Coturnix japonica: one gene and its partners. The protein of the gene in region 4 interacts with the protein of the main gene of each other region in a pairwise test. Links are inferred from orthologs where the notes say so. Each region holds a gene or a part of one and is shown on either strand. Other genes may lie near its edges.

Region 1 (2,975 bases), on a different chromosome or scaffold from region 4:
TCACAGCACGGCCTGCATCACAAAGGCCCACAGTGCTCACCCAGCTCCAACCCCCTGCTGTGTGCAGGGTCACCAACCAGCAGCCCAGGCTGCCCAGAGCCACATCCAGCCTGGCCTTGAATGCCTGCAGGGATGGGGCATCCACAGCCTCCTTGGGCAACCTGTTCCAGTGCGTCACCACCCTCTGGGGGAAAAACTTCCTCCTCAGATCCAACCTGAACCTCCCCTGTCTCCGTTTCAAACCATTCCCCCTTGTCCTATCACTGCCCACCCTCACAAACAGCCATTCCCCTCCTGTTTATTCGCTCCCTTCAAGTACTGGATGCCCACACTGAGGTCTCCCTGCAGCCTTCCCTTCTCCAAGCTGGAACTGTGACCAAACACAACCTGAGCATGGTGCTCACGGTGCTGTGGCACAGAACAGTTCAGTGAGATAAGTGCTGCTCACACCAACAGCCCCGGGAAGCGTCAGGGAAAGGCAATAAGAGACACCACGGGGAGTTCTTCAAAATGGGACATTTTATTTCTGCCTTTTTGGGCTGAGGACTAACACCCCCAGCATGGAGCTGCAGCCTGCCCTGCCCCGCTCTGAGCTGTCACAGGAACGCCAAGTCCGCTTCTGTCTGTTGTCTGTGTGAGGCCCAGACACCCACAGTCCCATTATGCACCACTGGGTCCCTCGCTGACTGCACAGCCCTCCCTGCTGGCACGTTGCTCTGGGCTGGAGAAGCCTTCCTGCCTTCCTGGGGTGGCAGCAGCACTGGGCACATGGTACAGCCCTGCAGTGGCTGCTTGGCCTCATGCAAAGCTCCTTCAGTGCCATCCTTAGCAAGGGAGCAGCTGCAGCTGGTGGGTGAGCCCGGCACCTCGGTGTGCTTAGTCTGGCAGCATCGCAGTGAGGTCTCATGCAGTGTGTGTGTGTTGTGGGCAGAGCAGCTCAGTTCATTTCAGTGCTGTGTGTGCTGTGTGCAGGCCGGGCTGGCAGCTCTGTGTTCTCCCCGTGTATCTCAGCCCGGCTGTGCCGTCCCTACGCCTCCAGGTCGAAGTCGTCCCGCTCCTGGTTGTAGTCCAGCACCTTGACGCGCAGTTTGGAGGCGTCGGCCCAAGTGACGAAGTCCTCCATGGCGCGGGGCACGAGCACGGCGGGGTCGGTGACCAGGTCCGGCCCGACGCGGACGTGTCCCTGCTCCACGAAGGTGACGGCGTGTCGCATGTTCTGCGCCATGCGCAGCTTCAGCAGCACGCAGGGCAGGCGGCGCCGGCAGAACGAGGCGGCGCACACGCGCTCGCACACGGCCAGGGAGCGGCGCGAGCCCACGATCCCCATGGCGTACAGCTTGTGCAGCAGCAGCGCGGAGCTGCGGGAGCGGAACGCGGCGCTGGCCGGGCCCAGGTCCCGCAGACGCCGCGCCAGGGCCCGAATGTCCCGGGCCAGCGCCCGGTACCGCGTATAGTCCTCGCGCCGCCCCACGCGGAACCGCCGCAGCGCCCGCAGCTCCGCCACGTGTCCCGGAGCCGCCTCCCAGCTCACCAGCTCCAGCCGCCGCAGCAGCTTCTGCTCGTGGTACTTGAGCTTCCGCACCATGTTGAGCTGCCGCCCGGATCCACGCGGCGCCTTCCGGGGAGGAGCGACGGGGCACGGCCGGCACCGCCCCCACGGAGCGAGCGACGGGCGGAGCCGGGCCGGGCCGAGCCGGGGTGTTTACACGGCGTTCTGTCCCCAGGTCTGTCGGCGAAGGCAGCCCCGGAGATGGGCAGCGGCGGCGCGGACAGGGGCTACCGGATCCCCGCCGGGAAGGGCCCGCACAACGTGGGCTGCACGGACCTGATGACCGGCAACGCGGCCGAGGTACGGCACCGGGATGAGCCCGATGGACGGCGTGATTGTGTGCAGGGCTGATGTACGCGACCCCAGCTGAGCCTGCATCACATCCCGTCCCGTCCCGTCCCGTCCCGTCTCACCCCATCCCATCCCACCCCATCCCATCCCGGCGGGGCACAGCTCAGGGTCCAGCAGCCCCCAGCCGTGTGTCCCACGGGCCGTCCAGCTGTTGGCCCCATCCCGGCTCCCTCTGCCCGCTGTGCTCGGGACGGTCCCGCTGGGGGCTGGGGGCTGGTGGTGAGGATAAGCTGCTTCAGCTGCAGGACGGAGTGTGAGAGGTGAGATGGTGTCTGCCCAGAGAACAGGGTGTCGGTAGTGCAGGGAGACACCACGATAAGGCAGGAACGGCAGTACCATCTGCTGGGCTTAACTACGAGTTTCTGTTTCATATCCTCTTGCTTTTTCATCTTGCACTGCAGTTTTGCTCTCCAGGCCCGTGAGGTATCACCCAGTCACAGAGATAAGCCGTGGGTTTTGCTCTGCTCCACCTGGCTTCTCTTACAGCACCACAACGGGGCTGGTTTCTCTCTGCAGTCAGCCTTCCCTTAGAGCATTGAGCACAGTTACAATTCCTAGTGATGGCAATGGACCTTTCCCTGTGTTGTTCAGCAGTTGCTCATCAGGGGAAATTCACTGCGACTACCCTGGGGTTGAGTTAATATAATTACCCGTCTGGCTGAAGCTTTGCTGCTTCCTTCACTGCCCTTGTGTCACACGTTGGTGTAAGTTTAGGAAGTTCTTTGCTCTGAGAGTGGTGAGGTGCTGGAACAGCTGCCCAGAGGCTGTGGATGCCCCGTCCATCCCTGGAGCTGTTCAAGGCCAGGTTGGATGGGGCCCTGGGCAGCCTGGGCTGGTATCAATGTGGAGGTTGGTGGCCCTGCCTGTGGTGGGGGGTTGGAGCTTCGTGATCCTTGAGGTCCCTTCCAACCCAACCATGCTGTGATGAAGGTACAGGTGGAGCAGGTGTAAGTCTGACCTTTCATTGCCATACATCAATAAATTACAATCTTCCCTTTGTTTTTTTGCTAATTCCAGGGCAGCTTTTTGCGCCTGTATTATCCATCATGTGACGACACAGAGATTGAAGAGACGC
Region 2 (4,212 bases), on a different chromosome or scaffold from region 4:
TTCCTTATATCATCTTCTATTGATTGTACTGCCAACAGATGCCTAAGTGAGAGCTACGCTGTGTCTGGTTTTTGTTTTGTGTTTCTGATTCTGTCAGAGGGCAGAAAAATATTGAAATACTGAAACTGAAGTTTTGCCCCACGCTAATTTTTTTTATTAGTGTGCGTGGCATTAATTTTTTTTTTTTAAAGTCATCTCTGATTTTACTCAAGGAGTTGGGGTGTGGAATAAAATGATCCTTGCAGGAAGGATTAAACTTATTCTCCTGTCTTTCTGAATCCTGTGAAAGATAATGTGACTAAATCTTGCTCAAACTGGGCAGTGTGAGCCGGTTTTGCTCTGCATTGTATCTGTGCAATCCCCCTAAAGTCTGTTTAAAGAATGGATTACACGAGCGACGGTAGAACTCGGCGAATGTTTTAATGAAGCCTTAAGCCATCTTCGGTTCCGATTCACGCTTTGAAGCTCTTTTATATCTTTCAGTTTCTTTCCCTCAGTTGGCCAAGTGGGCCTCTGGTTCTGAGCCGGTTTTGTGCCATAAGAATTTGAAACGTGGTTTTAAATTGTTTAGATGAATTGAAGAAATGGTGTTCTAGTTCTGATATTAAAGTTCAGACTTGAAATCTCGTCTTCTTTACAATTTATCTTAAGTGTAATCTTTAAAGTAAATTCAAGGAATATTCATACTGAAGCTATTCAATGTGGCAGTGCTGCAGCATATGGAAATGAGAGTAACCTGGCTATAGAGTCCCTTTAGTAACTCCTCTGAGAAACTTGTAACGTTGATTTTCTTCATATATGTATGTCGGAAATGTAAATGTGCTTCATTTAGGAGTTCTCATTCCATCAGTCTGTTAGACAGGAATTGAGACACTTTGAATTTAAAAACAGTCTCATTGTTTCTTCTACCTGTTGTGTCTGATAGTCGGAGTTTCCCAGATCTTACTGTGTTCATTACAAGTACAGAGCAGCAAGAAATGTGTGCTTAAAACTTCTGTACGTTTGGAAATTCATTGCATGTTCTTATAGATGAGGTTTATTATCTGGTCTCTGTAGCTTTAAGAGACCCTTTATGCATTCCATCTGCAGCATAGTGTGGTACAGTGCTTTTCAGATTCACATTTGGGAATAAGTTTCCTTTAGTCATAAGCTCAGCACTTGCTTTCATTAAATGTATGGTTGTCACTGTTGGGTTCACTTTCCATTGCCACCAAGTATCTTGTCAAGGGCTGATAAGGATGCAGGTTTTTGTCTATATATAAATAAAGATTATCTTTTTAAGGATTATTTAATATATAACAAAGGAAGTGTATTAGTTTTCTATGTAAAAGCAGAATATTGGAAGGATAGAATTTGGGATGTGTTACAGTCTGAATCACTCTGTTGCACTGCATTCAAATCAGGCCGTTTTAAACTTGCAGTGTTTAATGTTTCATTTCTGTTCTTTTAAAGAGCAATTTAATATTCTTAAACAATACTGCAGTACAGAACAAATGTGTTAGACATAGCAGTTCTCTGCATCAAATGCCTAAACCTTTATCTCATGCCTCCCATGCATCTAATGGCTTCTGCTGGCTTTTTTGGTGAAGGAACAAGGAGAACTGGAGCTTGGTGGGAGGGAAAAGGGAAGTCATGGCACAGTCGTTAACCCATGCTGCACTGCTCAGCAAAGCAGCCCTGTGGTACCAGCCCCAGTTGGCTAAAGGGAGCAGTGGTAGTTCTTTATTAAACTGAAGTGTTCCTTCCAATTCTGGTAACACAGCTGTCTAGAACTCGTTTGCTGTGGACCTTTGGGCTCTTCCGTTTTCAAAGCAGTATTTAGTATATTAAACCAGTGCTGAAGTTGTTAAGTTAGCAATGTTCTTGCTTTCACTTCAAGATTCCTTAATTCTTTGCAAGCTCGGTTTGCTTGTTTTGGTCTTGAAACACAGAAGTGGAGATGCAATGTGTTAAGAAGGAAACATCCTGAAATGAGCTCCTCTGTTTTTGTCTTAGCAGAACTTCAGTGAGAGACGATGCTGCAGAGAGAGAGAACAGAGTGGCACTTGGCTGCAGGACGTTCATGTTGATTTGATTAAAAGAGTTTGATTTCAGGAGGTATTTACAAAAAGCGGCCTTGCTTTTCCCAGCAAAAATCAAGTTATTGACTAAGTTCGTTACTGTGCTTTGTTACTTGACAAATCCAAGGGCTTTGGAGCGAAGTGGTTCAGGGAGCAGCTTGTAATCTAGCATGGCAAGATATCAAAAGCAAAACCATTTTGTTTAGGCTTCAGGTTGAGTAAGATGGATTCTGCCTGAAGTAAAAATGTTTGTATGCGGGGTATAATTGTATAAAAAGGCTCAAGGCCTGAATTGAACTTGAGTTCAGGGAGCTTCTGAACAACTGAACCAAAAGCAGGGAAGTCAGGTCTGAGTGAAAAGTTCAGAGTCAGTGAGGAGATGGGCACGGTTGGGACAGATAATCAATCTCTACCTGTTTCTGTTCCCCTTCCCTAACACGGGTGGAATGTTTTTACTCAAGTTTCAGAACATTGAAGTTGACCAGGTAAATTGAGCCTGGCCCTTACAGAACCGGTCTTGCCTGCAAATGGGCACATTCAGAAGTGTCTCCAGGGCAATGACCTTCAGAAAGATGCTGTTTGTTGGTGCCTTGCTGCTCTTAAAATTCTCTGTTAGTGAAGCTGGGGAGAAGAAAACCCAACTCTGCTCGATATTTGGAATGCTCCTTCTAAGAGCATTCTATGGTAAAGGAAAGGATGCTGCCATAGAACCACTCTGCTCTGCCTGGCACAGGGCAGGATGCTGTCTCTGAGTGCAACAGGCTCAGGGCAATGAGGAGTCATCCGCATAGAATTCATCCTCACGTATGGTAATACTTAGGGTTTTCTCAAAGCCACTTTTATGTATCAACAAAAATGATAATGCTGCTGAAAATACTGAGACAGCCTTGAAAGGCATGAAAAGTTGGCTTAGGAATCCTGAACTGGTACGATTGTGGCAGCCTTCTTCCTATCGAGGGCTGTGCAGCCTCTTGTGGTGTGAAGTTTTCTTGTGTTTGTTACACTTCTAAACAGAGAAATACGGGAACAGGCAGCAGAAAAGGAGGGTGACACTTGTGGCTGTGGTTAATTGCAGCAAGCTGGTGACAGTTCAAGGACAATTCCGCTTGCGGACAGACTCAGTTCTCGATGCTCGTAGGGTTTCCCTGCTTTGTTTTGTTTTGTTTTCCACCTTATCTGCTGTTGCAGATGCTGTATTTCATGAGAACTGCCTGCACGCGTTGCTGGGTGCTGTAAGGGCAGGGCTGGCAGAGCTGCGGGTCCTACACACAGTGACTGCACAGCGCCAGGGCTCGGCAGCACCTCTGCACCGCTCTGAGTGCTGCTGCTGGTGTGAGCATGAGAAGCAGCCACACTGCAAAGGTACGTTGCTTTGGGTTGTCTGAATGTGGCACAGAAGTGAAAAGGTTCTAGGGCAGGGTTTGATGGTTGGGCTCAGCATCAGGCTTGGTGATGCTGGAGGTGTTGGATGCTCTCATCCTGGGCAGGGATGCGTTGTACTGACTGTGCTTTTATTGTGTGACAGTTCATTAATGGGGAAAATGTTGTCATGAGGGGAGCTCCAAACAAAGCAGTAATGACTGCCTGTGAATAAACACAAGTGAAACAATGGATAGACAACCTCGAGGCTGCCCTGCTTTGCTGCTCTGTGATAACGCTGTGCACGCTGTATGTTGTCAGAATCGTATGGGGAGCCCCAGTCATCTTATTGCAGATAAATTCCCGATGTAACAACAAAGCAGAAACAGATTTAAACTGCTCTCTTTGGTTTCAGTTTTTAGAAGGAAGCAATCTGCAAGGTTTGCCACGTGTCTTTGTGTATTCACGTTGTCCTAATGTGTTTTTAATAGACACAGATAAAAGAGCTTGCTGCTGTACAGTCAGAGGACTGAAGTCTTAATTCTTTATTCAGTGCTTTGATCATCCGACCATCTGCAAGTCTAACGAGCAGTGTAACAGAATGGTTGTTGAACCCCTGGTGATGGTCCCAATGGTAACTAAACAAACTGCTGCCTGGAAATGTGGGTACAGAGCAGAACAAGAGGAAGAAGTTGGTGAGCAGCCATGGGCTGTGCTCAGCATTTCCACTCAGACATGCAGCGATGGCAGAACAGTTTCTTATGTGAAGTCACCAGGGTCTGTTGCATGACAT
Region 3 (3,960 bases), on a different chromosome or scaffold from region 4:
TAATTCATAATGAATACTACATCTTGATTATTATAGACTGAAATCATGAAAGCAGTTTGTGCTTTTTTTTCTTAACATATTCTACCTCATCCCCCAGGAATGTGTGTTTTTAAATAAGATCCTAGGAAGCATTGTGTTTGGGCTCAAGTACTCAGTATGCTTTGAAGAGGTTTTCCAAGAGCACACATTGCTTGTATCTTTGCCTGACTGCAAAACCTTTTAGTGGTGAATCAATCTGCTAGATTGAAGTTCAAAATCATGACCTGTATAAAATGAGAAATATACATGCTACGGTTTAGAAAGAATGTAATAAAATTGTGGTTACTCTGACTCGTTCTGTAATATGTACTTACGTGTTTTACAGATGCAAACTCTGTGACACCATATCCATTGGAATAAGGATGTATTTCAGTTTCCTATTAGCTGGACTTCATATTGAGAAAGGTTAGTTTTGAGATCACAACAATTTTAATGGTGAATGAATCTGCATGGCTGTGTAAATACATAGCCATGTATGTTTGTAAGTATGCAGATGCATTTGTGTCTGTCTGTGCACGGATTTAAACTTCAGCTAACTTCACTGATTTCATGATTTCATGAGTCTGAGCCATTTCCTGGAAGTCTGAATCTTTTTAGAGTTCTCGTGTTTTTTCCATGTATTTATTAGTAATATGGAAAAAGTTTAAGAAATTTTTTATGCTTGATAGAAAAAGACCGCTTCCTGGTAAATATACTAACTGCAACATCTCCTTGAAAATGATAATGGTGTATTTTTTTAATTGGACCAACGTAATAAAATTTTGTGATGACTAGTTTTGGAGTCTGCATGCCTTGAATCTGCACAGTTCTCCCATAAACATAGGATCGGTGTTTCCCTTTTAAACCTGGTAATTTTGCTAAATTACTTATGTTATGAATTAATTGAATCACAGTATTTTAATTACATATCTTCACAGTCATTTTATAAATAGTTGACAGAGATAGGTCATTTAATTATATTTTATCTGTAAGAAAGCATTAGCTCTGCTGCAACTGATAGCTAGCAAGGCCATCTGCTATGCCTTTCAGTTCACTCACACTGAATTGTTCAGATAAAGACTGTCAAGTGCTGCCTAAATAAGGAAGGAGCCTTGGTAAAGTTAAGTGCAGTGGAGGACACAAATGAAGCATTGATTCCAGGCATGCTGTAGAGTCTGAGCTGTTTCCTGCAGCTCTGATCCTTTTTAGAGTTTTCATTGTTGTTTTCTCCAAGTATTAAAATGCGAGTATCTGTCACTCAGGAATTCACAGAGGATGAAAATGAGAATGGAGAAGAAGAAAGGGTGAGTTAAACCCAATAGCTTTGAGAAATATATTTTTTTTCTTTACTTGTTACTCTTTTAGGACAAGAAACCTGGAATGATTACCTTTCTTTTATAGGTCTTCCTCAAGCCTGTTATTGAGGACAGAAATATGGAGCTGGCCCGAAAATGCAGTGAAATAATAAGTGATGTAAGTGACAGTGATAGTTTGCATTCTTACATTTGCATTTCTCTTTTCAGTGGTTTTATTTTTACTTTATTTTTACCACATATATACATTCACAGTCCATATTAATTCAGAAATGTGCCATACAGCATGTGCCCATCCTAGGCTCAAATTCAGAGCACAAATAATAGAAAAGCACAGTGTACTCTGATACCTTGAATTATTAGTTGAGGAAGAAGGAGTTTTTTGGAGCACTTAAGCTGTATGAAGCATAGGCCTAGGAAGAAGTTTCAAAAGTTGGGTCTCATGTGGAGGATGACTCCCTTGAGAGCACTTTGGCTGATTTCACCAGTAAAATGCAGTATTTTTGCCAATTGCTGCCCAATCTTATGAAGTCTGGTTGGTTAAAATAGAACTGTGTGCTGTACTTACATAGCTGTAAAGAGAGAAGGTGAAAGTCAAGCAGATGAACTTTGGTTATTGTCTATTAGTCTTTGGTGGTAGAAGTTCAAATCTACATAACAGACTATTATTGACATGCAGCTATAGGAAAAACCCATTGAAATGATAAGGTAAAGCGGGTTTGAAAAGTAACTTTTCCCCTTCATATGAATTGCAATTGGAATGATTGTTCTATACAGCATGTTGAGGATGGTGTTGACTGAGAAAATGTCAGTTCACAACTGTTCTCCGAATGAAACTGAAATTGGGGCCTGGTTCATGTTGTGTTATAATATTACCGCAACACATGTTGCATTAATGCAAGGTTCAGGATGTTATTATTCAGGGGAATGATTTTTTGAGAATAGGACATACAGAATCTACATTTTAAATGTTTAGGGGATATGTATCAGAAAAGAATAGGAAACTCAGAAAAACGGTACCTCATAGATGTAGGCTTTACAGTGCTGGCTCAAAAGTTTGACTTGACAAATGAAAAAGCTTTTTCTTTGCCCATGAACCATCTGGTAGTATTTTAATTTTCACAAGAAGACTGCTGAAAATTAGAAACATCCTTAAAAGAAGCTACCACGATGGCTGCTTTGTAATCTCAAACTATTTTAGGAACTGGTAGAGATTATTACTATTTTTACTGATGGCTATCTACAAGCTTTCTGTGGGAAATAGCATCTGACACAATAAAACACGTTAACTCATGGGGAGGCCAAATAAAAATGGAGATGGAATACCGATCCAACCCAAAATATGTGCTGCTTCTGTGCAGTTTATTTTTCTAAAAATGATTGCTGTTTTTCAAGGCAAAAACTCCTTCAAAAATGTTGAAGAAATATTTGCTTTCATTGAAAGGAATTACTACTGTGCTGTGTACCCATTACTGGTAATGTTGGCAGTGACTGTTAGTTACTACATTTAGCAGTTAATTATATTTTCTCTAATTTTCTGCAGGATCTTGAGGGCTAAAGTGAGTAATTAAGTTAAACCAGGTTCCTGAAACCTGTAACAGTGTAGTCTTTTGCTGAAAGCTTGTCTTGCACTTAACCTGCAAATGCTTTTGATTTTCACTGAGGTATGTGAAACATAATGGCAATGTGTCGTTACTGCTTTCAAGGCTGTAGTAATAAGTAATGGTTCAGAACAAATTTAATTTCAAAGATGATGTTCTTTGTTTAAAAGTGGCACTCATTTTGGAGGCTTTATTCAGCCTTTGGTGAAGTCAGTAGGTGTGTTCTGATTGGCTTGGATGGAACATGTATACGCGTAAGGAATGAATTGGAATTTCTTGTGATCAGCAGTGTTGTTCTGTAGTAGTTTTTTCACCTCACACACTTCACTGAGGAGCCCAGTCAGCTGTAAGGAATTTGCATTTTGAGACAACAATGCTCAAAACTTTCTACATATTCTTCATCTTCATGTTTTTATTTATTTATTTTTAATTATGTAATTAATTAATTAATTTTTCCCCATGACTTTTTGTTCATTTTAGCTGCACAGTGTTTTTTTGGAGGGTTTGCAGTTTTACCCCAAGATGACATTGTGACAGCAGCCCTTGTCCTTGCGGACCACGAGACAGGGTGGTTGTCCTTGTCAGTCTGGTATCCTGCCAACACAGCTCCTCCATGAGAACACAGTAACAGGAGCACTTGAGACTTGAGATACTGTGATTTCATTACACTCACCCTGCATTCTTTTCAGGCTGACTTTAGTTTGGCAATATGATTTAAAAAAGTGGTTCTTGTGGCATTCCTGAGTTCATGTGCAACTGTTAGGCTTGAACTGTATGTGGGGAAGCTGGGAAGTGTTTATGAGCTCCTCTTCTTCAGGAAATCCCCATCTTCATTTGAGGTTGTTCTGTGGCTCTGATACCCCCTGAATTGTTTCTCTCTAAAGCCATTTCATTTAATCTCCCTCCATTATGCAATTTTATTTCATCGATGCTTTCAAAACTGTCATGTATATTCTATTTAAATGAATTACCTTCCATTCCAGGCCTTCTGTCTTCCGTATTGGAACTGAGCCTATCCATTTGCTTGT
Region 4 (3,500 bases):
CTGTAGCAGGAGATTCATTGCACTGTGACAGTGAAGCACAAGACAGTCTCAGTGCCTCCATCAGCAAAAGCCTGTAACAAAAATGCCTGGAGGTCTCTGTAGAAGCTGTAGAGTTGATCAGTCCCTTCTGATTGCTGGCTCCCAGCAATGTGAGGGACCAGTGACAGACCTTGCTGACTGCGTTTCTGCCTTGGCCTTTTCCCATGCAGGACCATATGGGGCATGCTCTGCTCAGCTCTTTGTCTGCTGCTCACTGTTTTTGGAGGAACCCAGAGCTGTTTGTCAAAGCACACGCAACGTGTCAGCCCTGCGCAAAGGGAAATAAAGACTTATGTTATCGTGTGTTTGTAAGCTGTTACCAGGTCCATCTTACCAGGTGGGTCTGAAACACGTCAGCATGTAGAAGTGAGCACAGGGCTCTCAGCAGCAGCCATGGGTGATTAGTGGTGGATGGAGGTTGGTGACACCAAGGCTGTCCTAGCAGCTATCACAGCCAGCTGTCTGCATGCAGAGTGGAGGGGCACTGCTCTGAAATGCTAGCAATAGAGCCCTGGGCTATTGGTGCTAGCTGTTGGGATGGGGTGTTAGGACTGCAGGCATGCCGGGGTTACAACAAAGCATCTGGCTTTGAGATTTCTAGCACAGATGAAATTTCTGACCTGAATTCCAGGGCTGAAGGAATGCTGGATATGTGGCCCTCGGGCTCCTGAAACAGCTGGCTTGGCGAGGCTAGTCTATGCTTATTCAGATTTGGCGACAGAAAGGAGGGAGGGCGGAGAGGCTCTCAGGGCTGCACGTAGCAGTGCTCACCCTGCTCTCAGAACAAAGCTGAGTTATTTGGCCATCCCGCAGGCAGGATGGCCAAATAAGCTGAGCTCTGGTCTCAAGCCTGAGGGATCTACCTTGAAGATGCTGAGTCGCACGGCCGCAGAAATGCTGCCCGGAGCCCTTGGAACTGCTTCCTGGTGGAGGCGGAGCAGGCGGCTGGCTCAGCCAGTGAGGGTCAGGGGATGCTCCTTCATCGGCAGCTACAGGAAGAGGGAGAAAGCAGAGGGCCCTGCCAGGGAATGTGACACCAAGAACCCCTCACCTGACCTGGTGTTTCTGCCTCTGCCTGCACACGAGGGTCTGGAGGTAAAGTGGGTGGGATGAGAGATGCAGGGGTGTGCTGGGGAATAAGGGGGTGTTACTGGGGGTGTCACAGGCTGAGGACAAGAAGAAGCAGATGACGTTAGCGGGTAAGTGGGGCAGAGTGAATGCAGATTGCAGTCGTGGAAGAGGGAGTGTGAGGGTTTGCTATGCTGGGTGAAGATGCTTGCACTGGTCATCAGCTCCTTCCTGCATAGTGTGTGGAGGGGTTTTGAGCAGCAGGGAGCTTAGTTTTCTCTGTGGCAGCGCATGGATGATAAGAAACCCCTTTGTGGTTATCACTGTGCTGAGCTAAGGAAGTGTGCTGGCTTATTCAAGCTGCCTTTAGTAGCTGTTCCTCCTTCTTCCTGTGCTGATTCTTGAAGTGTTCTGTGCTCTGCTTTGGCCCCTCGGCCTCTGCCCAGACACAAGCTCCTGTATCTCCCCATTGTATGTTCCTTTCTATTAATTCCCACTCGGACCTAAGTCTGACATCATATCACTTTCCTCTCTCTTCTCTCCTGCCAGCAGCCAAAAAGATGGCTTCTCCAGGTACCCCAGGGACCCGTATGACAACCACAGTCAATATCAACATTTCCACGCCGTCCTTTTACAACCCACAGAAGAAGTTTGCACCTGTAGTTGCCCCTAAACCCAAGGTGAATCCTTTCAAGACTGGGGGTGCATCGGAGTCATCGCTGCCACAACCTCCTGGAGCTGGAGCCCAGCGTGCCCAGATAGGGAGAGTGGGAGAGATCCCCGTAGCTTTGACAGTAGAAGGTAGGTGAAGAGGGGTGTGACAGATGTGGTTATTGCTTCTCAATTCTCAGGGTGCGAGGTCTGTAACAGGGTTAAATATGAGAATCACTGCAAATAAAGCATACTGTTGCTGTAGATGCTTGCAAGTTTCTGAGTAAGATGAAAGGATTGTGAAGTGATCTCAAAATACGTGGCAGCTCAGTTGGGAAAGGAGTTAGGAAAGCAATCCTGCGTTGCACTTCGATTTTAGTAAAGCTGGAGGAACGCAGTGTTTTTTTCATGATATTCCCAGTGTGTATAATTGTGTAACTGCAGTAGTATTCTGGCCAGCACGCCTAAGAGCAAGTATGTTGCAGAAACATTCACTCTGGTGGTGATGCATCGTGCTATTCTCTTTCTAACCAATTCATCTTAACTCCAGTTGGCTGTCTTCAATTATAGAGACCCTTCTTGTGGACTGATCTTTTGCAACAAAGACTGCAATTTCGAAGGAAGTAGAAATAATTGCATGGAAAGAACAAAATAAAAGGAAGCTAACGAAAACAGGAAACGAGACTTGTATAACTGAGTTTTCTACTTTCTGCTGTTGGTTTGGGTTGAGTGTGTTTTCCTGTGTACACTGTCTTCTTGTTTTAGTGTGTGGCTTTCTTTTTTTGTTCTTTCTTTCTCTGTTCTTGTTGGTTTGGGTGGTTGGTTGTTTTTCTTCTAAGGAGCAGAAGGTTCCTGTGTGAGGCTGGTGTGTCCTGTACTAACTCAGTGGGCAGCTGCTAATGGTAGGAAGGCTGATCTGCACTCAGAGGCAAATGACTAAACTATTCTTTCCATTTCATGAGTCACAATGGCCCCAGGGTGTCGGTGCCTCTGCCTTGTAGAATTGCACCACCTAACTGGTGACCTTTTGCTTACACGCTGTTGGCTGGAATCTTGAGTCTGTCATCCAAGGTCTTATCATATTTTATATGCTTTTCTGCTGAAGTTGTGCGGATTTGGAGCGTGTTTGTAGGTTGCATCAAACTGACAGAAAGATATTAACTTGACTACAAAAGCAAACAAATGGGTATTCAAAATTGCTTTTCAGAATGTAGTAAGTAGGGAATTGGGTGTTCGTTGTTCCACTTGTCCACTTCTTTCCCTGTAAAGCTTCTTTTGAAGGAACAAGCTTGGTGGAGATTAGCAGAACTGTTTGGCTTAAGCTGCCACGTTACCAGCGGGTAAGGGCTGCTAGCAAAGGTTTATTAACAAGGCAGATGAATGACTGAAACACAGTTTTGACTCAGTCAAGAGAGGTGTGCATCTGATTTGATTCTTCCCTGATACATCTCTTTGATCATTCTCTTCCTTTCCTTTACTCTCCCCAGAGGAATGATAGTATGACATAGACCCATAGCAATTGATCTCTGTTTTAAGTGACAGGATGGCTAAATTGCTATCGCTGTTGTAACTTTACATTTAATATTGGTCATTCAGTAAAGCTCATGCAAACTTGATCCCAAAACATCATTTCAAAGAAAAAATACTGGCTTTATATTACCTTTTTTTTCCCTTTACTCCCAAAAAGCAGAACAAGAAGACTTGGAAGAGGCACTGCATACCAGTGCAGTTTATGCATTCCA

Evidence for each region.
Region 1: the proteins of ZYX (region 4) and IMP3 interact in binary tests that used the Homo sapiens proteins (3 or more experiments, as listed by UniProt). The link is inferred for Coturnix japonica from reciprocal best matches to the Homo sapiens genes ZYX and IMP3.
Region 2: the proteins of ZYX (region 4) and CASS4 interact in binary tests that used the Homo sapiens proteins (3 or more experiments, as listed by UniProt). The link is inferred for Coturnix japonica from reciprocal best matches to the Homo sapiens genes ZYX and CASS4.
Region 3: the proteins of ZYX (region 4) and NEBL interact in a two-hybrid assay, tested with the Homo sapiens proteins (2 studies listed by BioGRID and IntAct). The link is inferred for Coturnix japonica from reciprocal best matches to the Homo sapiens genes ZYX and NEBL.

What each region holds. Positions count from the first base shown.
Region 1 is NC_029518.1:100,140,899-100,143,873, reverse strand, and holds IMP3 (U3 small nucleolar ribonucleoprotein protein IMP3), read right to left. Parts: upstream 1,634-2,975; 5' UTR 1,586-1,633; coding exon 1,028-1,585; 3' UTR 501-1,027; downstream 1-500. Other genes in the region: PLA2G7 (platelet-activating factor acetylhydrolase), read left to right, coding at 1,725-1,849, 2,918-2,975. UniProt on the Homo sapiens protein: Component of the 60-80S U3 small nucleolar ribonucleoprotein (U3 snoRNP). Required for the early cleavages during pre-18S ribosomal RNA processing. Part of the small subunit (SSU) processome, first precursor of the small eukaryotic ribosomal subunit.
Region 2 is NC_029535.1:10,845,571-10,849,782, reverse strand, and holds the start of CASS4 (cas scaffolding protein family member 4), read left to right. Parts: upstream 1-1,412; 5' UTR 1,413-3,398; coding exon 3,399-3,422; exon of another isoform or gene 3,423-4,212. UniProt on the Homo sapiens protein: Docking protein that plays a role in tyrosine kinase-based signaling related to cell adhesion and cell spreading. Regulates PTK2/FAK1 activity, focal adhesion integrity, and cell spreading.
Region 3 is NC_029517.1:16,578,769-16,582,728, forward strand, and holds the start of NEBL (nebulette), read left to right. Parts: upstream 1-1,160; 5' UTR 1,161-1,259; coding exon 1,260-1,322; intron 1,323-1,419; coding exon 1,420-1,491; intron 1,492-3,960. UniProt on the Homo sapiens protein: Binds to actin and plays an important role in the assembly of the Z-disk. May functionally link sarcomeric actin to the desmin intermediate filaments in the heart muscle sarcomeres.
Region 4 is NC_029516.1:69,750,120-69,753,619, reverse strand, and holds part of ZYX (zyxin), read left to right. Parts: exon of another isoform or gene 1-376; intron 377-902; exon of another isoform or gene 903-977; intron 978-1,023; exon of another isoform or gene 1,024-1,134; intron 1,135-1,656; coding exon 1,657-1,908; intron 1,909-3,500. UniProt on the Homo sapiens protein: Adhesion plaque protein. Binds alpha-actinin and the CRP protein. Important for targeting TES and ENA/VASP family members to focal adhesions and for the formation of actin-rich structures.